4 linked regions of the Sus scrofa genome follow. The main gene of each other region encodes a partner of the protein of the gene in region 2 in a complex. Links are inferred from orthologs where the notes say so. Each region holds a gene or a part of one and is shown on either strand. Other genes may lie near its edges. The genes, in order: USPL1, SUMO3, SENP1 and SENP2.

What was found.
Region 1: the proteins of SUMO3 (region 2) and USPL1 are in contact, whole or in part, in a crystal structure (PDB 7ZJU), measured with the Homo sapiens proteins. The link is inferred for Sus scrofa from reciprocal best matches to the Homo sapiens genes SUMO3 and USPL1. Residues at the interface, in NP_008867.2 of Homo sapiens: Gln24, Asp25, Gly26, Ser27, Val28, Arg58, Arg60, Gly63, Gln64, Pro65, Ile66, Asn67, Asp70, Leu75, Phe86, Gln87, Gln89, Thr90, Gly91; in NP_005791.3 of Homo sapiens: Ala234, Cys236, Trp237, Pro321, Gln322, Leu323, Arg324, Met330, Glu331, Ser332, Val334, Phe335, Leu339, Tyr368, Thr378, Thr380, His393, Phe394, Gly395, Pro396, Asn398, Arg407, His421, Val423, Tyr451, Asn454, Asn455, His456, Phe457, His493.
Region 3: the proteins of SUMO3 (region 2) and SENP1 are in contact, whole or in part, in a crystal structure (PDB 6NNQ), measured with the Homo sapiens proteins. The link is inferred for Sus scrofa from reciprocal best matches to the Homo sapiens genes SUMO3 and SENP1. Residues at the interface, in NP_008867.2 of Homo sapiens: Gln24, Ser53, Arg55, Gln56, Arg58, Arg60, Asp62, Gly63, Pro65, Asn67, Thr69, Asp70, Gln74, Glu76, Asp84, Phe86, Gln87, Gln88, Gln89, Thr90, Gly91, Gly92; in NP_001254523.1 of Homo sapiens: Gln440, Asp441, Glu446, Arg449, Leu450, Thr451, Lys455, Trp465, Leu466, Asn467, Asp468, Glu469, Asn494, Thr495, Phe496, Lys500, Arg511, Trp512, Lys514, Lys515, His529, Gly531, Val532, His533, Trp534, Gln597, Gly600, Ser601, Asp602, Cys603.
Region 4: the proteins of SUMO3 (region 2) and SENP2 are in contact, whole or in part, in a crystal structure (PDB 2IO1), measured with the Homo sapiens proteins. The link is inferred for Sus scrofa from reciprocal best matches to the Homo sapiens genes SUMO3 and SENP2. Residues at the interface, in NP_008867.2 of Homo sapiens: Arg55, Arg58, Arg60, Phe61, Asp62, Gly63, Pro65, Asn67, Asp70, Leu75, Asp81, Asp84, Phe86, Gln87, Gln88, Gln89, Thr90, Gly91, Gly92, Val93, Pro94, Glu95; in NP_067640.2 of Homo sapiens: Gln385, Asp386, Phe393, Lys394, Leu395, Arg396, Trp410, Leu411, Asn412, Asp413, Glu414, Ser439, Thr440, Phe441, Pro444, Lys445, Arg456, Trp457, Lys459, His474, Lys476, Val477, His478, Trp479, Met497, Gln499, Gln542, Asn544, Gly545, Ser546.

The regions. Positions count from the first base shown.
Region 1 is NC_010453.5:7,333,063-7,340,116, forward strand, and holds part of USPL1 (SUMO-specific isopeptidase USPL1), read left to right. Parts: intron 1-3,625; coding exon 3,626-3,739; intron 3,740-7,054. UniProt on the Homo sapiens protein: SUMO-specific isopeptidase involved in protein desumoylation. Specifically binds SUMO proteins with a higher affinity for SUMO2 and SUMO3 which it cleaves more efficiently. Also able to process full-length SUMO proteins to their mature forms.
Region 2 is NC_010455.5:207,479,321-207,487,135, reverse strand, and holds the start of SUMO3 (small ubiquitin-related modifier 3), read left to right. Parts: upstream 1-2,773; 5' UTR 2,774-2,996; coding exon 2,997-3,017; intron 3,018-5,981; coding exon 5,982-6,110; intron 6,111-7,815. UniProt on the Homo sapiens protein: Ubiquitin-like protein which can be covalently attached to target lysines either as a monomer or as a lysine-linked polymer. Does not seem to be involved in protein degradation and may function as an antagonist of ubiquitin in the degradation process.
Region 3 is NC_010447.5:78,425,499-78,432,552, reverse strand, and holds part of SENP1 (sentrin-specific protease 1), read left to right. Parts: intron 1-3,377; coding exon 3,378-3,581; intron 3,582-4,985; coding exon 4,986-5,065; exon of another isoform or gene 5,066-5,973; coding exon 5,974-6,058; intron 6,059-6,565; coding exon 6,566-6,661; intron 6,662-7,054. UniProt on the Homo sapiens protein: Protease that catalyzes two essential functions in the SUMO pathway.
Region 4 is NC_010455.5:123,427,040-123,434,874, forward strand, and holds the start of SENP2 (sentrin-specific protease 2), read left to right. Parts: upstream 1-2,875; 5' UTR 2,876-3,101; coding exon 3,102-3,202; intron 3,203-3,498; exon of another isoform or gene 3,499-3,601; intron 3,602-5,607; coding exon 5,608-5,663; exon of another isoform or gene 5,664-5,755; intron 5,756-7,835. UniProt on the Homo sapiens protein: Protease that catalyzes two essential functions in the SUMO pathway.

The sequences.
Region 1 (7,054 bases), on a different chromosome or scaffold from region 2:
GACAAAAAAAAAAAAAAAAAAAAAGAAAAAGAGGTTAGCATTGAGTTTTGTCTCAGCACATGGAAAAGATGCCATCAGTAGCCTCTGTTTTATGTAGAGACCTGGGAGCAAAGAGCTAACACCATCAAGTTACATTATCTTGACTGCTCAAAAGGCAGTCTTTTTCAAAAATTAAGAGGAAGGAATAAAGACGCTGTGGCTGTATGTTTGCTGTCAGGGTGGTGATAGTCAGCATAGAGTACATCCAAATAAAATTGTAAGTTTTTGAATTGCCATAAGGCAGAATAAAGAAGTAAATACCTATCACCCATAATCCCTCGAACAACTCCCTCGAAGTGTATTTTCACAATGAGAGGTGTATTTTTGTTTCATTTTCTAAGAAATAGGATACCAATGAATCCACCTCCAGCCCAGATAAATTAAAATATTTCCGTTGACTTAAATCTACCTGTATATTCCTCCCATCCCATCTTCCACCTTCCTTCAAAGGTAGTCATTATCCTGAAATGTGTTTTATCAATTCTTTTGTTAATAGTTTTCACTGCGTAGGTATGGCTAAACAGTGTATTGCCTAATTTAATTTGTTTTGAACTTTATAAAAAAGATACTGTACCATATTTTTTCTGGGGATCTTTTTTTTCTTTTGATATTTGTAGTTCATTGTTTTTCATTGCTATATAATATTTCCAGTTCATAAATGCATCAGTGTATTTATTCATTGATCTGACATTGGGTTTTTTTTGCCATTATAAATACTGCTGCAGTGACTGTTCTTGGGCAAGTCTCCTGGAGCAGAGGGAGTTTCCCGTGGATTTATCATAGGATAGACCCTGAGTTCACATTTACTGATGATGGTTACTTGTTTTCCAAAGTGGTTGTGCCAGTCAGTATTCCATTAGCAATGCAGAAGAGATCTTCCTAATCCTTATTTCTTCCCTTAGTTATTTTCACACTTGGAAATTTTGTGGTTTGAATGATATTAAATGGTCCCTGGTCTTGATTTGCCTTGCCCAGCTTTTAAAGAGGTTTAACAGCTCTTCATATGTAGATTGAGCCTCTGTTCCTTCTGTGAAGTGCCTGTGTCTTATCCCTGTTTGTTCTTTTGTCACATTCTTAGGGATTTCCATGAGTTTTTAGTGTTTGTTGTTGTATTTGTCAGATAAATTGCTAAATCTCCCAATTTCTATCTTATATTTTTACTTTTTTAAAAAGTATCTTTGATGTGTAGAAATCGTAATCTTTCCTTTTGTTGCTGGTATGTTTGTGGCTTTAAAAAGAAATGTTTCTCCAAAATCAGAAAATCCTTCACCTGTATTTTCACTGATAAGTCATAGAGTTTTGCTTTTTACATTGAAATTCTTAATTCAGACTCCTAGGCTGGGAACCTCCACATGCTATGGGTGCAGCCCTAGAAAAGACAAAAAAAAAAAAAAAAGAAAGAAAAAGAAATTCTTAATTCAGCTGGAGGTAATTTTTGTTTGTGGTGTGTGGTAAAGGTTTGTTTTTTTCCCCATTGCACAATCAGTTTTTCTAGCTCCACCTATTCCTCAGTTGGTCTGCCATGGCACCTTTGTCATATAACATTCTGCATATGAATGCAACTTCCTTCACTCTCAATTTTGTTTTTTTGGTCACTTTATCTGTCCCTTTACCAATACCACACAATTTTAATTTTTACGGCTTTTTTGGGTCTTGGTATCTGGTAGGGAAATAATCCTTACCTGTATGCAGTTTGACTTTAGTCGTGTAGTATTTATCAATACTGTACAGTTTCCCCATTGTTAACTATTCAGACTAATTACCATTTTTTTGCTATTGTATATAAATACTATGGCAAATATCCATGTATCTTTGACTCCATTTCTTTTTTTTTTTTTTTTTTTTTTGTCTTTTTGTTGTTGTTGTTGCTATTTCTTCGGCCGCTCCCGCGGCATATGGAGGTTCCCAGGCTAGGGGTCGAATCGGAGCTGTAGCCACCGGCCTACGCCAGAGCCACAGCAACGCGGGATCCGAGCCGCGTCTGCAACCTACACCACAGCTCACGGCAACGCCGGATCGTTAACCCACTGAGCAAGGGCAGGGACCGAACCCGCAACCTCATGGTTCCTAGTCGGATTCGTTAACCACTGCGCCACGACGGGAACTCCTCCATTTCTGATTATACCCTAGAAGGAATGCTAAAATATGAATGTAAAGAATCTTTCTGAATGGCTTTCCAGAAGGATTATACCAACATAATAATCCCATTTTCATATGTAGAAGTAAACATTCAGGAACACTCTAATCATCTTTGGGTAGAAACATTTAAAAAGGTATCATTTTGTTAGATAAAAAATATTTCGCTTCAGTTTGAGTTTCTTTGAGATTGAATTCTTTTTCTTTGCAATTTCTAAAAGACAGTTTCTCAGAAGCATTTTTGCTTTTGCCTTTTCTCTTTATTCCTGTTTTGTATAGTTACAGAAACCCCAGTACTATGTAGGTGATAGTTGTTTGTTGTGGGAGAACATACCTCAAGTTTTGACTTAAATATTGAATTAATTTTAATTTTTTGTCTAAATATTACTTTTTTCCAGAGTAATTGTTTTTGTAATATAGTTGTAATTACATTTGTTTGAGCTACATTACTTTGAATTGAAGTTTTCCCTTTCTTTCAGTATGGTTAAATAAAAAAAAAAATTCTGGTTAATGCTTACTTCATATTACAGAGGACTCCAGATGTTTTCCTGGTGAAACATATGAGCAGAGTGTGATCAGGCAGTAAAAAGTGTAAAATAGGTCTTTTCACTCTGTGTGGCTTATGAGTCAGTTGCGTACGGAGGCTTTTATTCAAAATAATTTTCTTATTAATCTTGGGTAGTTTTCGGTCACAGTAATGCCATTTTGAGGTGTTTTACCTTAAATGATAAAAAAAAAAAAATGTGCCCAAAGATGTTTATCATGATAGTATTTATAATAGCGAAAAAAGAAGCAACTTAAGTGTCCAGCAGTAACGAGTGGTTACTAAAACTATGGTTTAGCTGGAGTATAACTAGCCTGCACAGTTTTAGTGGAAGCAAATTTGTATGAAAAAAGCAGAATGTGGAGTTGTATGAGGATGGTGATGTCGTTGAAGACCCTTCACCCCAGCCCACCGCCAAAAAAGAAGAACATACCAAATGTTAATTTGGAAAATAATCGTAACTTAATTAAGGCTCCTTATGAACTTATGTGCTCCTATGATCTAATTAAGCGCAGTGAAAGAGTAAATGTCTGTAGCCCAAGTAATAATTCCATGTAAAAAGGCAGCTTCAGCTCTTTCAGAGATAAGCAGGATATCTGAAAGCGTAGCTCTCTAGCCAAGCCTGTGATTCTTTGGACGAGAATGGCTTTTGCTGCGGTTTTACTCGGGCGGGATGGTGTTGTGTTGACCCAGGCAGTCGGTCCTAATGATATTGTGCTGTTAACACATAATTGAGGGAATATGCAGTACACCGCAGAGGGAGGAAGAAGAATGAAGGAATTTCGTGTTTTCCATTTTATCTCTGCAAAGTTTGTTGACTCTGGTAAACTTTCATTTTTGGTAATGTCTTAATTGTGGAAAGATATATGTTGATGAGACTGATAATGTTTTATATTGTATTACTAGGCGGAGAGTGTAAAAAACTTCATTCAGAAATATTTCCGAAGATAGAGACCTGTCTGAATGAAGTCAGAGATGAAATTTTTATTAGGCTTCAACCTCAGTTGAGATGCACATTAGGTAAGTAATTTGTGGAATTTAATTGTATTACTCATCTATCATAAAGAAGTAATTTACATCATAATGAAATATAATAGTGTTTTATTTCTTGGGATGATCAGATCCTTGGAAGAGAGAGTCTGGGGGTCTCACTTAGGAATCTCTCTGTAACAAAATCGTTTGTGGACGGAACTCTTGCACTAGTACACAGGCATGTGCATCACTCCCACAGAGTGGATGCGGATCTCAGAACCGGGGAACTACTCATGGGTACGCCATTGCTTGCTTTCCCAGTACTTTCCCCAGTAGACTTATTTGAGCTTTTTCAACCTTGACTATGCATTAAAAAAGCACCTAGGGTTGGAATTCCCATCATGGCGCAGCGGGAACTAATCCAACTAGGAACCATGAGGTTGTATGTTTGATCCCTGGCGTCGTTTGGTAAGTTAAGGATCAGGCGTTGCCGTGAGCTGTGGTGTAGGCCAGCAGCTACAGCTCTCATTCAACCCCTAACCTGGGAACCTACATATGTCTCGGGTGCAGCCCTAAAAAGACAATAGATAAATAAACAAACAAAATAAAAAAGCACCTAGGAAATACAAGTGCTAGGGGCCTACGAGAATCTTAGGGAGGGAGTTCAAGTATCAGTAACTTTTAGAAGCCCCTGCATGATTCTTATGGGTGGACAGGGTTGAGAATCTCTGGCCTAAACCAGCCATAGTAATTCTGTTTCCCCTGCCAGAAGTTGGTTAGAGAGTGGACATATTGTACAGTTTTAGCCAATGGAATATGAGGAGAAATAGGTTGATGACCTTTTGGGAAAGTTTTCTTACCTTTAAAAAGGGCACAAGAATGAGACCTGCTTTGTCGTCTGTGAATTAATTGGCTTTTGGCCTCTATGACCAGAGTGGAGTAAGGGTAGTAGAGTCTCCAGGTCTTTATAAATTTTTTTAGAATTGCACAAAGGAGCTGGCAGTGATTTTTTTTGAGGGCGTCTTTCTGTTTTCTCTTTTTCCTTGTATTAATATTGTGTTATTGTACCAGAATATATGATACCCCTATTTAGTATGATACCCACACTAAACTATGTAAAATATCAGTGCCTTCAAGTTTGTCTCTCAATAAGAGACGTTCATTTCGTTAGACGCAGATAGTATACCTGGAAGCGCTGTCTTTTTTGCATGGTAGTATCCTATTTCTTTGTCCCACAGTTCTGTCCCCTAGTTTTACTATTTTGTTTTTCATGAACTCCTAAATGTATAAGCTTTCTCTGTTCTTGTAATAATAAAGTGATTTTCCATATGCCAGACCTTCAGCATTGCCTTCTGTGGGCCTAAAGTATTATTCTGATTTATCATCAGTTGCAGTCTCAGATGGAGTAAATACCCTTTTTTCCTTGTGATCGAAATATGATTTACATAGAGTAAAATCTTTTTCAAAGGTGTGCAGTTGTGTTACCATTACCACTGTCAAGATAAAGAATAGCACTGTCACCATGAAAATGTTCCCCAGGCTCCTTTGTAGTCACCCCCTCTCCTTACCCCAACCACTGATCTGTTGGGAGGATACTCATTTCAAAGGAGACTTTTTTGTAGGCTTGCCAGAATGTAGACTGAGGGGCTCCCGTGTTGCATTTTGCAGGTATTATTTCCCTCCTAGAGTGACCCTAGATGTTTTATTCAAGTTTCCTACCGCAGTTCCTCCCCCAGTCCGAATCACCACCCTTCTTATCTCTGCTACTTATATTTGGAACAAGGTTGCCTCTTGCTCCGTTTGCCACCTTGGGCCTGGTTTTCTGTGTAGCAGAGAAGGGATTTTTAAATTTTGAGCACTTGTAGCAGTTGGGCAAGCCTGCAGCTCTTGAGTGCAGTAGAGTCCTCTCATTTGTGTTTGGACTACTCAGTCAGCAGTGAGAGGTGCTGTGCTAGAGCTCAAGATCTTATTAATGAAGTCCAATCTTTGCTTCAGGGAGCACTTTAAAGTCTTAAAGTGGATGTGTCCTCATTCTGAATATTAATGTATATTTTAAAATACCAAAAAAGAGAAGTAGGAGTTCCCGTCGTGGCTCAGTGGTTAACGAATCCGTCTAAGAACCATGAGATTTTGGGTTCGATCCCTGGCCGTGCTCAGTGGGTTAAGGATCCGGCATTGCCGTGAGCTGTGGTGTAGGTTATAGATGTGGCTCAGATCTGGCGTTGCTGTGACTCTGGCGTAGGCTTGGCAGCTACAGCTCTGATTGGACCCCTAGCCTGGGAACCTCCATATGCCGTGGGTACAGCCCTAGAAAAGGCAAAAAGACACACACATACACACACACATTAAAAAAAAAAAAAAAAAAAAGGAAAGAAAGAGAAGTAGAATCTATACTGACCCAGAGAGTTGGTTGAATCTTTACAATCAGTCAGCCACTTTATCATTTTGATTATAGGGTTTATTTGTTTGTTGTCTTTTATCTTTTTAGGACTAAATCTGAGGCATACGGAGGTTCCCAGGCTAGGGGTTGAATCGGAGCTGTAGCTGCCAACCTACACCACAGCCACAGCAATGCCGGATCCTTAACCCACTGATTGAGGCCAGGGATTGAACCCACATCCTCATGGATCTTAGTCCGGTTTGTTAACCACTGAGCCATGATGGGAACTGCTTGATTATTGTTTTTAAAAAAACACTTTGTAAACTCTCCTCTCTGCTCTCCCTCCCACTAGTTTAAGAAATAGAACATTACCGATAACAGCTGAAGCCCTTTTTGTACTCTTCCCTAATTCTTCCTTAGCTCCCTACAAAGGTAACTACTGTCTTCAATTTGGTGTTTTCTTTGCCTCTTACATGTATATTTCTTTTTTTCTTTTTTTAAGGAAAAACCTAGTATCGGTATGGTTTCTACTTATTTATGTAAGTGTGCGGTAGTACCGATGTAAGGATAGACAGAGCTATAGAACAGAATAGAAGGTCCAAATCAGAGCCCTCCCCTCTGGGCTACTTCATAGCTGTGATGGAGCGATGCAGATAGGTGGGGAAGGGAAGAGCTGTCCCTTGAATGGTCTTGGGGCAGTGCGTTCCTGAGACAGGGGTGGGGATTGGATCCCTGGTTCCTATCACATTTGAAAGAAACTTCAGCACGTTTAAAGACATAAACATGAAAAGCAAAGTTGTAAAACTTGGAAAGAAAATGTAGGTTTTATTTTACTACTCAGTGGGGAGAAATTTCATAAAAGAAGAGGTTGGTAAATGTTATTACATTAAAGTATAAAACTTCTGAGCAACAATAGAACAAAGAAATGATATCCAGGATATCTTATGAAGAACTCATACATTAATTTTTTAAAAAAGAAAAAC
Region 2 (7,815 bases):
AGAGAGTCTCTTCTGTTTTGGTAGCCATTTGGTGTCTTCAAGCAGAGCTTCAACATACTTCATACAGATTTTCTGATCGTTCAAAACCATAGGCTTTTTTTTTTTTTGGCTGCGCTCACGGCATACAAAGGTTCTCGGGCCAGGGAGCCCACGCCACAGCAGAGACCCAAGCCACAGCAGTGACAACACTGGATCCTTAACCTGAGAGCCACCAGGGAACTTCAAAACTGCAATAGTTTTATAATTCACTTTTAAAAAATGTATCAGCAGGAGTTCCCGTTATGGCATAGCGGGTTAAGGAACTGGTATAGCCTCTGTGAGTGTGTGGGTTCCATCCCCGGCCTTGCTCAGTGGGTTCAGGATCCGGCATAGGTCGCAGAGGCGGCTCGGATCTGGTGTGGCTGTGGCTGTGGCATGGGCCCCAGATGCAGCTCTGATTCAACCCCTGAGCTGGGTACTTCCATGTGTCGCGGGTGGGGCCATAAAAAGAAAAAAAAAAATGACTCAACATATGCGCATCTCTTCCTGTCACCAAGGACTCTTTTTTTACACATTTCTTTTACTGGGGACGCAGGCTTTCGTCCTACGAATGAACCACAGTTCGAATCCTTACTGGAACACCTTTAGATACTGCATTTCATCAATTCTAAGCCATAGGTTTTTCACCCTTCAGCAAGTCTGAAACCAGGACGTCTTCCGTCCAAAACCTGTCTTGGTTTAACGCGTCTGTGCTAAATAAACCAATTTCATGCTTTACAGCTGATGGTGTCTCAGAGCCGACGACGAACGATGGGTCCAAACGCCGCCTACGCGAAGCTACCCCACAGCCCGTCAGCCGGGGGCAGTTCTGGGCCCCACTGTCCATCTCTGTTCTGGAAGGGGCCAGTTCCCGGAGACCCCCCTCTCCAGGAAGCAGAGCTTGAGCCAGTCGTTGTACCCGAGGGCCCCCTGGTAGAGGCGACACCGTCCGGACTCCAGGACCCTCAGTCCTGGCTGAGATGGAGGTTGGCTCTGCTCGGACCTTTCGATGGAGAGACTTCGTCAGCCTGCTACGTGGCAGCTCCGTTTCTTGGAAGCGCCTTCCCTTCTCCTAAACGGGGCCTCTAGCCAAGGATGTGATTTTTTTTTTTTTTTTCATTTTTGAGGGCCCCACCGGCAGCAGATGGAAGTTCCCAGGTTAGGGGTTGAATCAGAGCTATAGCGGCCGGCCTACCCCGCGGCCACAGCAACACCAGATCCAAGCCATGTCTGCGACCTACACCATAGCTCACAGCAACACCGGCTCCTTAACCCACTGAGTGGGGTCAGGGATTGAACCCTCATCCTCATGGATGCTAGTTGGGTTTGTTTCAATGGGAACACCCAAGGAAGTGTGTTTTGAAGGGTCCAAAGTGGTTTGTGAAATTAAGGCCCATCAATACCTGGCCCTGTGGCCTTTCGACAGCGTCAGGAAGCAAGCAGAACCCCGTCAGCAGGGCCTTCAGATGGAAGCCATCTAGTGACCTGGGTTCAAATCCAGACCCTGCCACCTCCTAGTGCGTGACCCTGTGCAACCTTCATTCCCTGACCGGAAGAACAGGGGGCTAAGGTCCCTGCTGCAGAGTGTTGTGAGCCTTGATGCGTGCTTGGGACCACAGCCGGCACACCCGAGGGGTCAGTCCACGTCGGCCACTGCTGGTCCCTTTCCTCTGAGGCATGGGGTGGAGACGGGGAGGGCAGGAAGAGCCAGGGCCTCAGAATCCTGGAGGGCTTCCTGACCAGGGCCCATTCTTCACCACATTTCCCGAGGTTGCCTGAGTGCCCGTTTCAGCCTGTCCTGCTGGGGTTGAGCCCTGGGTTTGTCCCGAGGCAGCAGAGCACACTGGTCAGACACACGGACCACTGCCTGTGCTCACATCCCAGCGGCATTGCTCACCCACGCTAGGACGTCAGGTAACTCAGTTTCCTCACCTGTAAAATGGGCTGATGTAAAGGTCAGGTGCACAGCTTCCAGGTAGGGTAGCAAAGCGGTCCCCACCTGCCCCAGGTGCTCGGCTTCCACTGGCCAAGCTCAGAAGGGGGCTGGACAGGGGGAGAAGAACAAGCAGCCTAGCCCATCACAGAGAGAGGCTTCTGCCTCCCCGTCTCCCTCCCAGAAATGCCATTTATGCCTCCGTCCCCTGGGATCGCAGAGTGGAGGTGGCCGGACCTTGGAGCCTGAGTGGGTTTGCTAAAGGAAGTCATGCCCTGACTCCTTGGTGGACGGAGTGGCCGGGTGGGTCAGCCTCCACCCCTTCCTTCACTCCACTTCGAGGTCCGACACTTGGCTCCGGGCGAAGGCAAGCTGCACCTTCCCCAGTAGTGGGGGCGCCTCCCAAGACACTGTTCTCACTCACGTCCCCTGGAGTGGCTCGCCTGGCTGGCTTTATTTTCCTTTTTTTCCTCTGAGAAACACCGTAACCAGAAAAGAAAAGCAGTGGGTGCACTTAGGCTTGACTGGTGCTGCTGCAGTAGGGGGACCAGTTATGGGGACCAGAGCAGGGGCCGTTCTCAGGCTCCATGATAAAGCGCAAGGCCTCCTGGCCCGGTTCTCTGAGCACCTCGGGGTTCCAGTTTGCCCCCATCGCTGCCCCGTGTGCCCCCTGGGTCCCACCGTCCCCACCCTAGCTGCCCTGCACGCCTCCCGGGTCCCAGCGCGCCCCCCACCCCTCGGGCGGACCCGAGCCCCCGCTGCCTTGGGAACCCCCAACCCCGACGCCGGATTTCGCGGGGCCCCGCCCGGTGACGCATTTCCAACCGCCAGGAACCTCGGCCGGCAGGCCAGGCGCGCGTCCGACGCCCCGGGGTCGCGCCTCGTGCACGCGCGCCCACCACGTGACCCGCGCCGGCCAACCGGCGCGCAGGGATTTGGGGGCAAAGCGCGGCCCCGAGAGCAGTTGCGGCGGGAGAGCGGCGGGCCGAGAGCGTGAGTCGCCCGCCCGGCGCTGCTGCTGCCCCGCCGCCCGCCGCGCGCAGCCATGTCCGAGGAGAAGCCCAAGGTAAGGGCCGTAGGGCGCGGGCCCGTGCTCTGCCTCCAGCCCACGCCGCCGTCGCCGCCGTCCCCACCCCCGCCTGCGCCCCGTGCTGCACCGCCCTCCGACCCGCCGCCGGCCTCTGGGGCCCGGGGTCCGCGGCGCCACCCGGCTTCCCCGGCCCCCTCCCCCGCGCCGCCGGGCTCCGCTCGGCTCCCCTCCCCCGCCCGGCCGCGCGCCCCGCCGCGCGCCCCCTCCCTCCGCCCAGGCCCCTCCCTCCGCCCAGGCCCCTCCCTCCGCCCAGGCCCCTCCCCACGGGGCCCGCCCCGTCCCGAGCCCCGCCCCTCCCAGGCCTCCCCCCCCAAGACACGAGCTCCACCCCCACGGCCCCGCCCCGCCCCCGAAGAGCCCCGCCCCGTTGTCTCGGCGAGTGGCACCCCTATCCTGGACCATCCTGGACCCTCCTGGACCTGACCCTCCTGGCTGGGACCCGCCTGGGTCTCCCCTCGTCCCCCTTTGGGACCGCCCCTCCCCAGAACCTCTTTCCTCTTCGGACTCTCCCCCCGCTGCGCCCCTCATGCCAGGACCGAAGGTCCTGGCCTGCCTGGGCCCTACTGCCCCTCGGAGGGCCTCCTCCTCAGCTCTCACTGCGGAGAGCCCGAGGGGGCGCAGGCTGGGGACAGGGGCTCTGAGAGGCCTGACCTGTCTGGAGGCACGGTCGCCCCCCTGGGCGTGCGCCCACCTCCCCCGTCGTTTACTGTGTGCCCCCTGCCGCCCTTCCCCCAGGCTGTCAGGTCTGCGCCCTTGAGTCTGCTGCGCTGGCCCTTAGCCCTCCCCCTCCTATTAAAGACGGGCTTCTGGACCCTTGGGGTCAGTGTTTTCCAAGTAGCAGATCTGCTGCGAGTTGAACGATGGCGTGCAGGCTTTCTCTGCTGCCAGCCCCGCTGGAGGTTCCCCCCCTGCAGCTGAGGCTGGAGCCCAGGAGGCAGAGCTGGGGTTGGGGTCCAGGGCACGGAACCCCTGGTCACCAAACCCCTGGTCAGAGACCCCCTGGTTGAGCCCCAGGTCGGGAGCCCACTGTGGGGCCTGTGAGAAGAGGTGCCCTCAGGAGCTTCCTCTCTCCGGGTGCAGTTGGAGCTTTGTTTTTTATTCTATTTTATTACTTCTTTTTCTTTTATTTTGGCTGCCCCATGGCACATGCAGTTCCTGTGCCATGGGTTGAATCCCAGCAGAGCTGTGTCCTATGCTACGGCTATGGTAACATTGAACCTTTACCCACTGTGCCTGGTATCGAACTCATGTCCCTCCCTGCCCCTGCAGAGACCCGTCAGTCCCTTTGCGCCACAGCAGGAACTCCTGCCTTTGCTTTTTCCTTGCGGCCAGTTACATTTCTCACTCAGCCTTTGCTAGCGCTCGCGCCCTGGATCCTTTGTTTATTGGAGGCTGAACACAAGCGCCCCTTCTTCATGCTTTCTGGGGGCCTCTTTCTGCAGTTTAAATGCGATGAAATACACATAGATCTCATTCCTTCGGTGTGTTTAAACTTAGCTCTCCCACGTGGTCCAGCCCACAGCCCAATTCAGTTGAATAAACTTGTTTTCACTGCTTTCCAGACAAGGCCTCGTGCCCCACCCCTGCCCACCACAGCCTCGCTGCCTGCCGAGCTCTCCTCTGGGCCTGGGGGTGGTAGGAGGCCCGCTCCAGCCCATCTTGGTGAAAAGAAAACCTTGGGATCCGTTGGGAGGCCAGTTCTGCCTCCCTGGAGAGCACAGGCAGAGGCCTGCTGGTCGGAACTGTGGGTCTTGTCCACCCCCTTTCTTTGCAGTAGTTCACTGGCTTATTGGGAATTCACCAGGGCCGGGCACAGGCCATGTGGTCTCGGTGCCTTCCTCTGCCTGGCCTTCAGCCCCTGCCCTGTCTCTGTCTGCTTTGTGCTCTGGCCCCTGCGTCTCATTGAACACACCAGTACCTTCTCATTAAAAAAGCAATGCATCCTATGTCCACATGCAAAGAGAATAAAGTTGGAGGCATTCCCCTTGTGGTTCAGTGCTAAGGAACCCTGCTAGTACCCATAGGTTTCGGGTTCGATCCCTGGCCTCGCTCGGTGGATTAAGGATGTAGCATTGCTGTGAGCTGTGGTGTAGGCCACAGACGCAGCTTGGATCCTGCCTTGCCATGGCTGTCCTGTTAGGCCGGCAGCTACACCTCCGATTGGACCCCTAGCCCGGGAACCTCCATATGTTGCACATGTGGCCGTAAAAAAAAAAAAGACTGAAGTTGGATTTTTCTTGTCACTATATGCAAAAATTAACTCAAGGTGGACCAAGGACCTAAAACAGTACAACTCTCGGGAGAAAACAGAGGAAAGCTCCATGACATGGGACCTGGCAGTGGCTTCTTGGATGTGACACCAGTGGCACAGGCAGCATGAAGAAAAACAGACAAACTAGACTTCGTGAAAATTGTAAAAATTTTGTACATCAAAAAACACAATGGGAGTTCCCATTGTGGCTCAGTGGTATGAACCCGACTCGTATCCATGAGGACGTGGGTTCGATGCCCGGCCTTGCTCAGTGGTTTAAGGATCTGGCGTTGCTGTGGCTGTGGTGGAGGCCGGCAGCTACAACTCCGATTTGACCCCTCGCCTGGGAACCTCCAAATGCCATGGGTGCGACCCTAAAAAGGCAAAATAAGTCAATGAATGATTTTTTTTAAGTGATCTCAGGGCAAAGATGGACTTGCCCTCTGTGGGTTCCGGGGTCCGTTAGGCGGGTGTTCTCCCTCGAATCGAGTCTGAAGACATTAGACGTGGGACGTGTTAGAAGTTCTGTGCGGAAATCAAGGCTTCTGGGCAGAGGTGGGATTGCTGGAGCGAGGGGGGAATTGGGTTGGTTCCAATGATGTCGGGGAGACCAGCCGCCGCCGAACGCTGGCCTTTGAGCGGCGGGCAGTGGGGAGGCGGGCGGAGGCCAGATCCGCGTGTCGTTGCAGGAGGGGGTGAAGACGGAGAATGACCACATCAACCTGAAGGTGGCCGGGCAGGACGGCTCCGTGGTCCAGTTCAAGATCAAGAGACACACGCCGCTCAGCAAGCTGATGAAGGCCTACTGCGAGCGCCAGGTGCGGTGGTGCTGGAGCGCCTGCGCGTGCCTGCGTGTGCACGCGTGTGCACTTGTGTGTGCGCGTGTGCACCTGTGTGTGTGCGTGCCTGCGTGCCTGTGTGCATGTGTGCCTGCGTGTGTGCTTGTGTGTGCCTGTGTATGTGCGTGTGCCCCTTTGTGTGTGCGTGCCTGCCTGTGTGCTTGTGCTTGTGTGTGTGCACGCCCCCCCTCCCCGGAGGCCCTCCCTCTTCTGTCCCGTCTCCTGCAGGCTGGCGGTCGCTCCATCTTTAGCAGGTAGGGCACCCGTTGCCCCTGGTCGGGTTGCCTGGCAAGTCTTCCTGGTGCTGCTGGGATCATAGCGGGGGGTTCGCGTCCCCCTTCTCCTCCTCGGCGTCTGTGGAGACCCGGCCTGGCTTGGTTTCCAGACAGTGCTTGATTCTTGCCCTTTCTTTATTGCTCTTCGAGGTCGGGAGCAGAGGCTCTCATGCCCCCCACAGGGACCCGTGAGATGGACCGCTTCCGTGTCCCTCTCGTGTGAGCGGGACTGTGTCCTTGGGCCCCCACGGGAGCCGGTCCTTTCTGGCGGTGGCGTTTCTCCGGATGCTTTGGAAATAGCGGACCTCAGTTCCTGTTCTTGCCTTGGATGCTCTTTGCCTGGGCTTGTGCTTGTCGCTGTTATGAAAAGCACCTGAAACTCCACGCCTTCGTCTTTCTCGCCTCGCTTTTCAGACCTTGCTCTTCAGAGGCCATCACTGCCCAGCTTTTTTCCTGCGTTTTCGGGGTGCGCGTGTCCGTGCCTCTCCTCCTCGTCCTCTTGATTTGGAGGTGGAGTTCTCCTGGGACAGGTGGGCTGAGCCCTGCCACGCCATCCGCGCCCACCCGCAGCCCCTGTGCACAGATTCTGGCCTCGACGCCAGTCCTTTGCTCTGGAATCTCCTGATTCTGTCGTGACTGGGGCGGAGCTGCGCTGCTCCCAGGGCCACACGGCGACCTGTGCTGATTTCTGGCTCCTGCCCGAGCCTGTTTCTCCTGGCCTGGTGGCAGTTGTGTGTGTGCCCCGTGCCCCGTACTGCCCGCCCTGCTGCCTCACCCCCACGCCCTGGGTCTTTGCTGTCCCGTCGTCCCTCCCGGGGCCCCTCCCTTCCTGCCCCACTTTGGAAGGTTCTGGAAGCATCCTTAGTCCTCTCCTGTGTGTTTTCTGGATTGATCTTTCCTCCCTGTTTTGATGGAGCGTATCTTCCTGTATCTTGTTCAGAGAGTGTGTAAGTGCTGCGTGTCTGAAAAGTGAATTGCTTTATAAACCTTCACACTGACTATTTGCAAATTTCTTCCCTTTTTTTTCAGGGCCGTGCCCACAGCATGTGGTAGTTCCCAGGGTCGGGGTTGAATTGGAGCGGTAGCCACCAGCCTACACCACAGCCATGGCAATGCCAGATCTGGCCTACACCACGGCTCACGGCAACGCCAGATCCTTAACCCGCTGAGCGAGGCCAGGGGTCAAACCCGTGTCCTCCTCAATACAGGTCGGGTTCGTTACCGCTGAGCCATGATAGGAACTCCTGAATGTTAGTTTCTAGGTTGAAACTCATTTTCTTCTTGGGGACTTACTGCAGCATTTACTTGATTTTCCACTGCTGGTGTGGAAGGTTCAGTGCTGCTCTGACTCTGCCCCCTGGTGCCTCTCTGCCAGCTTTAGGGGCCTGATTGCGTGATCCGAAATGTCA
Region 3 (7,054 bases), on a different chromosome or scaffold from region 2:
ATTGGGAAGGATTAAAAGTCAGGACTTGACTGTTAGTGAAATTTTTACTTATTTTAAATGCATGAGAAAACAGTAGTTTGGCTGGTTTACTACATGAGAAGGAAGATACAAATAGCAGTAGTCATTTATGTCATTGTGGTAACATACAGGAAAAGGATTGAATCCTTAGTTTGAAAACATTGTAGGCTTTTCTTTTAAAGAGAAGCTTTTTTCAGCTTCAGCCTGGCAGCTCTTCAAATAAAATCACAAAGAAACAAGACACTGTAAACAACCATTCCACTCCCAAACAGGACTGCATAGACAAGCAGGCGCTCATGGCCAAGGCTGTGAAGGCAGCCGGAAGGGCAGCTCTTTAGAAGCCACAGCAAAGAGAGGCAAGTGTGGGCCCCCAAAAGAGTGACAAGTGCAAGACCAGTAGGCACAGGGCTGATTTACTACTCTTAGCCCCCTATTCCAAAGGGAATTCAAGATCTTCTGGAGCTAAGAGAGCCCTGTGTGCAGAAAGGCTCTCACCACGCAAGGGGAGAGACCCTTGTCTTCATACAGTACAAGCAAATGCTGTCACTGCTTCTCTTTCATCTTAAACACTGTGATCTCTTCTCTCATTTTGGTTTTCTTCATCTTCAGCCCTCCTCTGTGAGAAGATGTGTAGGAATCTTTTTGTTCTCCTAATTCCTAGCTTGTTTTTTTGGTATGATTGTATCTTGGCAGACCTATGGCAGTTTTCCTCATTTGGACAGAGTAATAGCTAAAAAACTGAGGAGAGAAACTTGGATCTAAAATCTGCCTCAGATGTCAGATTACACCTCCTTGGCTAATAGGAGGGAACATTGAAGCCACCAAACTCCCTCCTAATGGGATACAGTGTAAATGAAAAGGAACCCAGATCCTCCCTAGAGCTAGTTTAATGAGCTGACTTTGGAGGAAGCCATTTCCCTCTCAGTGGAGAAACCTTGGTTGGAGGCAGAGCTAAAGCAATGGAAAAAGGTCCTGATCCCTAGGTTCCTGTTCAGCTGGTTTGGTCTTCAGCGTTATAGTCCACTCTCAAAATAATAAAATAAGAAACAGCTCAAGCTAGACTTAATTGTTTTCTGGAACGCTTTCCTCCTGAAAAATGTGATAGCCATGTGTGGTGTGACACTCATTTATGTCATCGTTTTCACTGTAGGTTAATGATCCCAAAGGCGATATACCCCGGCACCTGGGGAGATAGATCTCCATGGCTCTGATGTGCTTAGCTGTCCTTACATCTCTGTGATTCCTTCCACCTCCACCTCAAATCCTTATTGTCTGTTGTAATATATAACTTATCTGCCCCATGGAGGGTTTGGCTTACAGTGACTGACAGATTGTCTGCCTGTTCTCTTCACCCCTTGGATTGGAGGGTTTAGCCTCATAACATGGCTAATATTGTGGGGTAGAATACCAGAGGAGTCAGTCCCTTCTTGCTGATTTTCTTTCACTCGGGAATTCAGATTATAGCCAGGAATCTGTGCTTGTTGGGCAGATCTTCCTGTAATCCTGGCTGTCTTCACAAGCCTAGAAACATCCTTTAGCACCATTGCCTTTGGGGCAGAGTTAGATTGAAAACCTCGATTTGAGAAATCTGTGATCCTGATTGTCTTGATTCATTATCATTTAAATAACTCAGCTCCAGTTACTTATTGGCTATCACACCAGGCAGAGAATTAACCACAACCTGGGTTTTCTGGGCCTATAGCTCAGTCTTTAGAGATGCAGGCAGAACAGTGTCTTTCTTCAGTCCTAGCTTTCCCCACCACCACCCTCAGAGCCCGGCCTCATGGTGAATGTGGTTTCCTTGCAGCTGCCTAGGCATCCTCATCTATAGGCCCTTTCTCTAGTCTAGACCATGCTCCGGTGTGTTCCTGGCAGTATTCCCTGCTGCCTACCCAGTATGTAGTTGCCTACTGTTGGGCAGTAGCTCACTGCTCTGGCATCCTAGTGTGTAAATATTTGTCAAAGGACGGGGGCGTTTTCCCATTCCCCAAAAAGCATTCTGAAAAATGTGCCTGTTTTCTTAGTCATATTTCCAAGCCGTGGATCAGTTAGCCCATTCATTCCTTGTAGTTGACAGACACTAGTGCCTGACCTCAGTTGGCCACATAAAGTAAGTATGCAGTAACTTCCGGCACAGTAACTTCCAAGCTTTAGTACCGAGGAGCCTTGGACCTAAAGGAACCATGGACAACATAGTCACTATTAAAGAACACATTATTTCATTAGCATGTTTTAACATATCTCTGCTAACATGACATTAAGCATTTTAATTTATTTCACTTGTACTTGCCTCATATTGAAGGCGTAAATGAGTCAACAAAAATGGGAAAGCTAACCATACAGATTCTGGGGGAGAATGTTACTCTTCATGTTTGTGATTTTACTTTCAAGTCTCATGTAATATAGGTTATACTATATCCATGTCTGCCTCTATACAAACAACATTGCTAAGCTGCTGTCACTTTAGAGATGTTTTTCCAGTAAGTTGATGGTTTATCCTGTCACACTCAAGTTCTACTTGAGACCAAAACAGTTTGCTTTTGCTCAGTGGCGTATTAGGCTGAAAATGCAGTCTTTAGTCATTGAGCAGTTTTCTATCTTTGTGCAAAATCAGGAGGCCTTCATAGAAGGATTAACTGCTGATCTTAGCTTTATTAACAGTAGATTTGGACCTCAAGATTTATTTAAATGGCTCACACAGACCCAGCAGATTAAAGGAACTTCTTGTACTCTTTCCTTTCCTTTTCTCTTGAGTCTCACCTAAAGGGGCGCTATAGCGCCCCTTCCTCCTCATTCTCTAGTTGTTTTTTTTTACCCTAATCTTCAGTATTCTACCGATCTGGCCAACATCTGCCCATATATATCCTGAGCCATGCATATATGTAAATATATAAATATATATATGTGTGTGTGTATATACGTCAACTTTCCCTGTTTTCACTCTTTATAACCCCCTCAACTCTTGTTCCTATGCTATGCAGTGTAGGAATGGTGTTTCCTTCTTACAACATAACTGTTTTCGAAGGCTTGAGTATCTATTTTTGTCTTTTTTGTCTTTTTGTCTTTTGTTGTTGTTGTTGCTATCTCTTGGGCCGCTTCGAGGCATATGGAGGTTCCCAGGCTAGGGGTTGAATCGGAGCTGTAGCCACCAGCCTACGCCAGAGCCACAGCAACGCGGGATCCGAGCCGTGTCTGCAACCTACACCACAGCTCACGGCAACGCCGGATCGTCAACCCACTGAGCAAGGGCAGGGACCGAACCCGCGACCTCATGGTTCCTAGTCGGATTCGTTAACCACTGCGCCACGACGGGAACTCCCTTGAGTATCTATTTTAATATATATACCTTCTTCCCACAGATCATCAATTTCTACATGAATATGCTAATGGAGCGAAGTAAAGAGAAAGGAATGCCAAGTGTACATGCATTTAATACCTTTTTTTTCACTAAGTTAAAAACGGCTGGTTATCAAGCAGTGAAACGTTGGACAAAGAAAGTGGATGTCTTTTCTGTTGATATTCTTTTGGTGCCCATTCACCTGGGAGTGCACTGGTGTCTTGCTGTGAGTACCTGTTTTATTTTTGTTAAAAGAAATCTATGTACTTCTAGAATACACAGAAAGTAGTGAATATTAGTTCTACACTTTCACTGGATGATTGAGGAAGGAGTAGCATTTAGTTGTCTAAAAATTGGATAGATCAGGGAGTTCCTGTTGTGGCTCAGTGGTAATGACCCCGACTAGTATCCATGAGGATGCCAGTTCCGTCCCTGGCCTCAGTAAGGATCCGGTGTTGCCGTGCGCTGTGGTGTAGGTCACAGATGAGACTCAGATCCCAAGTTGCTGTGGCTGTGGTGTAGGCCGGCAGCTGCAGCTCTGATTCAACCCCTAGCCTGGGAACCTCCATATGCCTCAGGTGTGGCCTTAAAAAAGCAAAAAAAAAAAAAAAAAAAAAATTGGATAGGTCAATGAGCTTCTTGCCAAGAGTGGGGGGTACTTAGGTTTTGAAGAAAGCTGTGGAATTTCCTTTTCTGGAAATATTTAAAAAGGGAGTTATGAGTCAAAGCAGGCTTAAGGCAAGGCATAGAGAGAAAAAGTGACTTCTTAATGATGCTGCCAACTCAGATTCTATGATTATTATTTTCTGCCTAATCATGACTTGCCTTGCATACTTGGTAATTTAATATTTTTATGACTCAGAAAACATGGATACATTAGCTTAAATATTAATAAACGTATAAAAGTTATTTTGCAGAATTACATTTGAAAAGCATAAAGCCAAAAGGAAATTCTCCAGGTAAAAGAAACAAAAGCTAGGAGTTACCATTGTGGCTCAGTGCATTATGAACCCAACTAGTAGCCATGAGGTTATGGGTTCAATCCCTGGCCTTGCTCAGTGGGTTAAGGATCTGGCGTTGCCCTGAGCTGTGGTGTAGGTTGCAGATATGGCATGGATCCCACATTGCTGTGGTTGTGGTGTAGGCCGGCAGCTGCAGCTCTGATTCGCCTCCTTGCCTTGGAACTTCTGTATGCCACAAGTGCAGCTCCCCAAAAAAGGAAGGAAGGAAGGAAGAGAGAGAGGAAGAAGAAAGGAAGAAAACAAAACCTAGAATCTTTTACCATCTTTCTGAAAATGTGTGGAAATGATCCCACTCAACTTCTTTCTCTGAAGAGCACATTATGTCTTCAGTGCTGCCCACATTGCAGATGGAGAACCTGAATACTAGAAAAAGGTTTTAGGGCAATGAATAGGGCCACTTATCAGTGAGCCCCCACCATAGTTCTAAGTAAATAACACCCCCCCATTCTTCTTTCCTCTGCAGATTAAGCAAGGTATAATGCAAAGTATCCATCAAACTTGTCATGATTTCATAGGAAATTGGTGGAAGTTTCCAAGTTCCAGGGAAGGGAAAAGCTGAGAAGTCAATTTTCTTCACTTCATAAACACACAGATTTTTTTATTCCTAGGTTGTGGACTTTAGAAAGAAGAATATTACCTATTACGACTCTATGGGTGGGATAAATAATGAAGCCTGCAGGATCCTCTTGTAAGTAAGGAGTTGAGGACAGAAGAATTTGGTGTTGGGTATGTGTTGTGTTTTTTTAGTTGTTGAATTCTGTTTTCTGATCCATTCAATGGAGTAATAAATAAAGGAAATTTTTATATTGAGTAAGAATGGATAGTTTCCATCAAAGAAAGTAAAGTTTAATAATAGTATAATAATACCAAAAGTATGCCCTAATGGGGATAATTACTGTCTTGGTGTGCTGAAATAGAGAGTGGGTACAGAGAGAGAGAGAGAGAAAGAAACTACTTAGGAATCATATTCTCCAACCTAATTTTTCAGATGAAGAAACCACAGGTGATTCTGATTTGCTCAGGTCCCACCAGTTAGCAGCTCAACTGGGAACCAAAATGCAAATCTCTTTACACATGTCTATTTCTCTTTCCGAAATGTCTGTTTCTCACTGTACCACTCTGGTGGCCAGGCGGAAGTAAGTTCCAGAAGAGTGAGCAGTTTGCGCTTAAGAAGAGTGCTCTGTATGGGGTGTGCACTCAACACATTGTTTTGGATTGAATTTTCACACCAGAGAATCAAGACTATAAATATAAATAAAGACCTCGATATTCCCAGGGAAGCATTTCTTTTTTATTAGATTGAGTTCCGAAGGACCATGTAAACCAAGGGAAAAGAATGAAAACTTGTTCTTCAGAAAGGACAGTAGATAGAGGAGCCTGGGTATCAGAGGCACTGGTTATGTTTCTCAGAGCGGGCGTGAATTGTGGGACTTCCAAAGGAAGCTTAGCAGTCCAGAGATTCCTTGCCCAGCAACATATACTGTGTTCCGTAGAAGTGCAGATGGAAACTTCCTAAGGATTGTCAGCCCCATTCTTTGAGCAGCAGGTGTCATCAGTGTTCCCCAAGCTCACCTCATTCTCTCCCAATACCTGTAGGCAATACCTAAAGCAAGAAAGCATTGACAAGAAAAGGAAAGAGTTTGACACCAATGGCTGGCAGCTCTTCAGCAAGAAAAGCCAGGTACATTTCACCTTGATGAGATGGAAATTCTGAGATTAGGGTATGGGAAAGAAAAGGATTTCACTGTTTAGTCCCCAGGGACCTTCTGTTTGGTCGTGTGGTTCTGTGGGAAAGTTAGAGTAAACTTCTGTGGGAAACCTAGTAATGTGTTTCTTATGAAGAACTAGGTTTTCTAAATGTCCAGCTATTTTGCCAAGTTTTTCATTTCTGTGGGTAATGTTTGCAGATTGTTTGGCCCCTGTGGGAGGGACCTGTTTTTACACACTGGGTATCGTGGGAAGTCTAAGGTATTCTCCTGTATGATTAATAGGACATACACAAGCCTGACTGAGAAGCTGTATTTTTTTTTTCTCTGAGCCTCTGTTGTTCTGAATGGGGAATCGGAGTAATCTCTTCAAAATTCAGGGAAACTTGTAAAATTCATGTTCTTTGGTTCTTATTTATAATCAAATAAGGAAAAAGGAAGCTTGGAAAGATGTCACCTTTTTGTTGTTTTGGGGCTTTCAGGAAATTCCACAGCAGATGAATGGAAGTGACTGTGGCATGTTTGCCTGCAAATATGCTGACTGCATTACCAAAGACAGACCAATCAACTTCACACAGGTGAGCTGAGCCGCCTGGAGGAAGCTCTGTGACCACCCTGGCTCTGGGTTGCCCGACAGATGTTTTTCTCTCCACTTGTACCACTCAGGGGGCTCCACTTCCGCCTATATATAGCTCATAACATGGGTGGAGATGGCCTGTGCCACGTCACAAGAAGAAGAAGGCTAGTGATAGGCCACATCCCAGGTTACCATACATCAGGTTACCATACAACCCTGGGCAACAGCAGAGCCTTCTTCCCTGCCTGTCTCCCCCACCTGCCTCAAATCCTATTAGAAGCAGAGAACTGGAACCAGAGCAGGTTTCCTTCAGTTTCCTTTTATTTGGGCAGCAGTTAAATTTTGGAACAGGCCACACCTCGATCTCCCAATGTAATTTGTTACGCTGCCTTCC
Region 4 (7,835 bases), about 84 Mb from region 2:
GTGCCTGGAAGGGAATTAATCTTCAAAGTGGTGAGCCTTGTTAGATTTTAGGTACATTAGGCCCAAGCCAACATCTCCTCTATGGGCCCCTACCCCCTCCCATCAAAAGGCCCAGATCTCCCTTCCAACAGGGGTCAGCAAAAACAAAGCTGAGAGGAAATCTTTCAGCACTCCAAGAATGCAGGCAAAGGGAAAATCTGCAAGACTAAAGAACGGATTGGAGGGCTGGGTTTTCATTGTTCTGTGGAGAGGAGGTAGGTTTTGAGAAAGATGGGGGAGGGGCGCTGATAAGGCCTGAAGGAGAGGATCTCCACCGGAGGAAGGGGATCTTTTTGGAAAACTAGGGCAATCGGGTGAAATACCCTACAAAAACTTAAGCCATGAGGTTGTGCTCCTCTGCCGGTGCACGGGTGCAAGTTATTCAAACCAAGAGCAGAAACCTCAACATCCTTGTAACTCCCTGTGATTTTGGAGTTCTCCTCTGGGCCTCCGGTGAAGAGTTCCTGGGTCTGGGAATGGCTGCAGAAGGGGTGGATTTGGGAGTAAGGATAATCCCACTCCTTGGTCAGTGGATGGACAGTGGTCCTTACCTCTACTGTGGACGACAGGACATCGAAGGCACCAACTGGCAGACAAGACCCAAGCGGAAGCGACTGTAAGGCTGAATCCCCTTTCTTTCTCCACTTCAGAGGGTGACTAGAGACACTAAGAGGACACAAAGTGGTGGGGGTGGGGGGTTGTGCTCATGGAAGGGCTGGCATAGTTATTGTTTGTTGATGAGGTCCAGAGATATGGACTGAGGTCTGTAATTCCAAAGCCCTCCGACTTTTCTTGGCGGGTGACCGACATTCCAGTATTGGGTACTTGCTCCAATGAGGCAGAAAAAAAAATACGTTGTGATGTTGTACTAGACTTCTCTGTAACATGATGCCAATGTTTCTTAAATCTTAGTGGCCAGGACCTGGGAGAAAGTGCTATTCTAAAGCAACCTCGGAGTGTTCTGGTTTATGTTTCGAATGAAGGCCACTCCTTTGTTTTGGAGAATTCCTTCCTGATACTTAAGTGTTCTTGGTTTGACAAAAGCAAAGACCAGCTTTTATAGTAGAAGGGACTTTTGGGACACAGCTGAACTGCCCTGCTGGTAGCCTTCTTCATCATCTTCTTCTTCTTCTTCTTTTTTTGTCTCTTTAAGGCTGTACTCACGGCTTGTGGAGGTTCTTAGGCAAGGGGTCCAGTCGGGGCTGTAGCTGCCGGCCTAGGCCACAGCCACAGCAACACCAGATCCGAACTGCGTCTGTGACCTACACCACAGTTCGTGGCAACGCCGGATCCTTAACCCACTGAGCGGGGCCAGAGATTGAACTTGTGTCCTCATGGATACTAGTCACATTTGTTTCTGCTGAGCCATGATGGGAACTCCCTAGATGCTGTATTTGTAATAGCCACTTCTAAACTTTCTCAGCTTTGTAATTCTCCTGTTATTCCCAGACTATCTGTAATGGCCTGGTATTAGCTATATTTTAGGGAATTGAGGGAGGAGCCCATGCCCACATTTAGGATTTGCTTCTACCCTCCAGGAACTGCTCCTATCCCCAGCCCAGGCCAGAGTGGTGGGTAGCCACAGGTGGGTAGCTGGTGGTTCTGTGGCTCTAGGAGGTGGCTTGCTGCAGAAAAATATTTATTGAACAAGGATGAGACTGTACTAGGGAGTGTCTCTGTTGAAGTTCAAGCAAGTCTGGAAGTCCAACCTTAACTGAATCACAGATTAAAGATCAAGTATTTCCAGGGATGGATTCGTGGGCAAGAAAACCTTTGCATATTCCCAGGAGTGTTAGGTAGGGGACTGGATTTTCCAGTAATAAGAAGGGTGGTTATTTTTCTATTGTTGATCGTTACTGGGAACCTCTAGACAAGAGAGGGAGAGTAGTTAGCAGGACTTCTTGGCAGCTCAGGGGGTATTAGTAGGTACTACTAGTAGGCCACAGGGAGCCTTCCATTCTTAAGTGTCTGTGAAGACTTTTTTGAGTTCTGCCCTTCCCGTCCTTTTCCCATCCAGTTTTCCTTTCTTTGGCTCCTACTGCACTCTGTACCCACCTTTATCACAACAGCCTTTTTTTTTCTTTTTCGTTTTTTGGCCACGCCCAGGACTTAGGGAAGTTCTCTAGCAAGGGATCCAACCTGTGCCACTGCAGGGACTCTAGAAATTGCAATGATGACACCTGATTCTTAACCCTCTGTACCACAAGGGACCTCCCAATCATCTTTTTAAAAATTTAACTTAAGTGCAGTTTACTTACAACCAATTGTCTTGAGGTGTAATTTGTAATCATATCTCCCAGTAGACTGATCTCAAGGGCAAGAGACTGGTGTTGGTACACAGACCCTGGTTCAAATTCCATCCGTGGTACTAGCTAGTTTTGTGACCGTAGGCAATTACTTAATCGCTCTATCCCTCGATTTCCTTACTGATTAAAAGTGGGCACAAGGTTCTGCATCTCCTGAGGTTGCTGAGAGAAATGAAGTTGACTGCGTGTAAAAATACCAGGCATAAAGTATGTGCAAAGTAAAGGGATCCTAGCAGGGTGAACGTTTGTTAATTAGCCTGACTAACCTTTATTTTGTGCATTCAACAAACATTTAATGATCACCTGCAGTATTGCAGGCCCCTGGAGCGCTCACTCCAGGGTAGAGAACGCTCTTGTGCGGCCGGTGGGCTTGTCCCTCGGGCAGTCTCAGGATTGGCTCCGCCGAAGAGAATACCCCGCCCACATCCCTTGCGATCTCGTCAGCGATTGGACTGGAACCTTCCCGCAGGCATTCTGGTTGCTAGGCTCAGGAGGTGGGGACCTAGGTTGCGCGTGCGCAAACTGAGAATGAGGATGCTTTCCGGTCGGGCGGGAGGAGGTGACGTCAGGAGCGGTGGCTAGCGGGGGCCTCCTGTAGCTCAAGGGACGTTGTATCTGTGGGCCCTAGGACCGCGTCACAACTCGGCGACTGAGCCTTGGCGGTGGTGGCCGAGGCGGAGAAGGCGGCAGCGGCGGCGACAGCTCTGGGGTTTGCGTCTCGGGGTGTGTCGGCCGCCGCTGCTGCTTGGGCCTGGTATGTACAAATGGCTGGTTAGGATTCTCGGCACCATTTTCCGTTTTTGTGACCGGCCGGTGCCCTCTTCCCGGGCTCTCCTGAAGAGGCGGCGCTCGAACAGGTGAGAGGAGAGGGGGCCGAACGCCGGCCTGGCACTCCCCCTCCCCCACCCGGGGCTCGGCTAGCCTAGCGCTGACCCAACCAGGCAGGCCCCGCTTGGCAGAAACAGGTAGCTGGGCGGAGGTGGTCGAGGTGCGGATCGCGGGCGTCCTGGTGACGTAGTCGCTCCTCCCCGCTGTGTGGATGCGGCTCCTGATGATGGAAGGAGCCAGTAGTTGATGGTTAGGATCTTTCTCATCAGAGCCCAAGCTGGTTGCTGTTAACAAATAGAGCTTTGTCATATTTTGCTGCTCTTAGGTTGAATACTGAAAATTGAAGGAAAACTGTCTTTGTTGTGGCTCACTGTTTGCAAAGCACACCCCCAGGTGTCATCTGTGCGCAATAAGCGCAGTTAAGGGAGGTGAGAATCATAGCTTGCCCAAAGTCCTTTTGACCACACGTACTGTTCTCTTAGCAACAAGAGACAGCAGCTGTCTTGTTCTAAAACAGCTGTCAAACTGTGTGTGTGTGTGTGTTGTCGGGAGGAGGGAGAGTGATTCTGTGCTTTAGAATTAGTGTATGAGAAAAAAAAATAGATATCTGATTACTTTAAAAAGATCACTAGTCTGTACTCTAAAATTCTGTTAAAATTTTGGAGAAACTAAAAGTTGTTCTTTGCATTTACCTGTTGGTTTGTCCCATTTCATTGTGTCCACCCCCTTCCCTAAGAATTAATCGAGAGAATAAAATACCATACTAAGTCTGTACATACCCACACCCAACTTTTAGTGGTCAGGTATTAATTTAATTTTTTATTAAGCCTCAAGATTGAAGGTTGGTTTCTTGGAGCTTGAGACAAAGATGATTAATTAATACATGAATCTAAGAATGCTGCTCATGATGAAATTGGCTTTGGGCTAAATTCCATCCTATGTTCTAGAGAGGGCAAGATTTCATTGTGTTTTTTATAATTTTCTGTGGAGTTAATACAAGGATCATTTGAATACAAGTTGTGCCTAAAATGATGCTTAATGCATATAAGGGTAGTGTTTGTTTATTCTACTCCAAGGGCCTTGTGCAGAGGCCGGAGCATGACAGGCACTTGTATATATTTATTGAATAAGGGAATGTTAATTCCCTCTCCCTCGTCCTTTATTTTTAATGCAAATCTCTGCTGGTCAGGGAAACTGGCTTGTAGATCAAAATCCTGTTCTTTATTATACATCCTTAATTGATATAAACTCTTCATTGTAAGCCATTTTTCAGTCCAAATGAAGCCAAAAAGTCTTCGTGGGATGTTGAAAGTTATGAACCAAATGGTATTCTCCTGAGATTTATTCTGTTTTTTCTTTTGTAAATAGGATCATTCCTAATCATCTTTAGAAAGATGATTATAGGAGTTGCTGTCATGGCTCAGTGGAAATGAATCCGACTAGGAACCATGAGGTTGCAGGTTCGATCCCTGGCTTCGCTCAGTGGGTTAAGGATCTGGCATTGCCATGAACTGTGGCGTAGGCCGGCAGCTATAGCTCCAATTGGACCCCTAGTCTGGGAAGTTCTGTATGCCGTAAGTGCAGCCCTAAAAAGCCAAAAAAAAAAAAAAAAAAAAAAGAAATGAAAAGAAAGATGGTTAACTGTGAAGCTTTAACCTTGAGATATAGGTCCAAAAACTTTTCTGAATTTACAAATTTTTGAGATATAGGTCCAAAACTTTTCTGAATTTCCAAATTCTTTATCACTGTAATATAGTTTCCATGATAAAAACACAGTTAAATATAACACCCTTTTCTGGCTAAGAACTGTCTTTTTTTTTTGTCTTTTCTAGGGCTGCACTCACAGCATATGGAGGTTCCCAGGCTAGGGGTCTAATCGGAGCTGTAGCTGCCGGCCTACACCACAGCTCACAGCAACGCTGAATCCTTAACCCCCTGAGCAAGGCCAGGGATTGAACCCACAACCTCATGGTTCCCAGTTGAATTCGTTAATCACTGAGCCACGATGGGAACACCAGAACTGTCTTTTAAGTAGACAATTCTTAAATTGTCTACTTCTATCTGAAGTAAAAAATGATTTTCTTCTGGGGAAGCTGTCATCTTTCAGAAGGAAATTATTCTTAAATCATTTTTGGAGAGAAAGGGAATAACTGGTCCTAAGCTTTTACCTATATTCGTTTACTAGTAAAGATTTCTGGCCAGTTTCATGTTTGTAGTCTAGCCAGACTACACATGATTATATAATAGGGAATTTTAGATCTCCACATCCTCAAAAGCTGAAGACCTACTATAGCATAAACATCAGTTAGATCTCATTTTATGACAGAGTGAATGGAAGAGGGTGTGTTTGAATAGTAAGCTTACTTATAGAAATGGAAATGTGTGTATATGAACATATATGCATATATATTATGTCTCTCTTCTCTTTTTTCAGCAGTCTCTTTTCTACAGTGGACACTGATGAAGTACCAGCCAAAAGACCAAGATTAGGTATTAAATATTAATTAAAAAAATAGCTTTTTCAATAGGAAAAATATATGTATGGACAAAATTCAAAAGATAAAAAGTATATACAGTGAAAAGTAAGTCTTTTTCCTGTCCCTTTTCCATTGTTATCTTTTTTAGAGGTAAACAGTGTTACCAGAGACTTAAATATCTTTCTAGATAAATAAGTCTGTATGTTGAAATTGCATTTCAAAATTCCTAATCTTCCTATAAAGAAAAGGTGCTTTTTATTTATTTTTAAAATTTATTATTATTATTATTTTTGTCTTTTTGTCTTTTTAGGGCCACACCTGTGGCATATGAAGGTTCCCAGGCTAGGAATCTAATCAGAGCTGTTGCTGCTGGCTTACGCCGGAGCCACAGCAACACCAGATCCGAGCCGCGACTGCGACCTACACCACAGCTCATGGCAACACCAGATCCTTAACCTACTGAGCAAGGCCAGGGATCGAACCCGAAACTTCATGGTTCCTAGTCGGGGATTCGTTCCCGCTGCACCACGACAGGAACTCCTATTTCTTAATTTTTTACTTTTAAAATGAGAGTTGGAATATTTATTTCAGGTTCTCTCTCTCTCTTTTTAAGCATTTAAAAATTTTTTTGCCACACCGGCAGCACGTGGATGTTCCTGGGTCAGGGATCGAACCTGTGCCACACAGTAGTGACCAGAGCGTCAGCGGTGAAAACACAGGAGGCTTAACCCACTAGGCCATCAGAACTCCCAAAAGGTGCTTTTTATTTGAAGAGAAAACATTGTAAAAACTATTTCAAACTGGAGTCATCTAGTTCAGATAGCTAAGTGATCCAGTATAATGAGTTACCTCAGATTGTTTACTTCTCTGTATCTGAAGGTCTAGACATCACTGGTAGAAGAGAATAAAACTAGATTAAAGGGAAAAGGCACTATTAAATACTATAATAGTGTTTTCCTTCTTCTCAAAAATGAATGTGAATTTGAATCTATCTCCAGATGTAGTAAAGAGTGGATATGTCTGTGTTAAGATTTAATGTAAATTCAGGAGTGCTTATTGAGCCTATCTTACTGTTAAACAATGTGTTAGGTTCTACAGGAAATACAGAAATGAATACAACAGGTTCTTTATTTTTAAGGACATTACAACTGCAGGAGTATATGATTATTTAGTGGGGGGTTTAAGACAGTACATAAATTATACTAATGTCAATGATTACATGATAAATGAAATAAGAAAAGTAATAACATAATACTGTCCGATTTTCAGCTCTAAGAGTCTCAGTAAATATTTGATGAAGGAGCTAATATGTGAGGTGAGTCCAAGGATGGATAGGGTATTGACAGAGCAATAGGAAGGACAGTAGGCAGAGGGGACAGTAAAAAGTTTTGCAATTCAGGAAATAATGAATAAAACAGGGGAAAAATTGACAAAAGAGAGAGTTCAAAATACAGAAGACTTTGAATGTCAGAAATATATACCAAATTTATTAGGACATTATATTCCAAAGCACAGGATAGATACCAGTTCAGGAAATGATTTTAGGAGATACGACATTCATAGCATTAAGAAACATTTGGGAATTCCTGTCGTGGCTCAGTGGTTAATGAAACCGACTAGGAACTGTGAGGTTGTGGGTTCGATCCCTGGCCTTGCTCAGTGGGTTAAGGATCTGGCGTTGCTGTGGCGTAGGCCGGCGGCTACAGCTCCGATTGGACCCCTCGCCTGGGAACCTCCATATACTGCAGGTGTGGCCCTAAAAAAGACAAAAAGACCAAAAAAAAAAAAAAAAAAAAAAAGGAAATACTTATCTAGTACTTGCCAGTTTTGCCTTTTTTAACAGGCTCAGCTGGAACTTAATATTTTTGTGTGTCTGTTTCTTCATAAGGCAGGTGATGTTGCCTTGTGTTAAAGTAGTAGCACTATACATTTACCATTCAGATACATTTGTTTAGCAAAAAAGAGTCAATTTTATACAAAAATATAAATAAATATGTGATTAAAAAAATTAAAAAATGGTGGTATTAGAGAAAGTTCCTGAAATAATGCTGTAGTAATCTGTTTTACGGACTTCCATGTTAAGGACATCTCCCTCCATGATGTCCATGAAATGTGCATTAAGATTTTCTTTTATTGGAGTTCCTGTTGTGGCTCAGTGGTTAACGAATCCAACTAGGAACAGTGA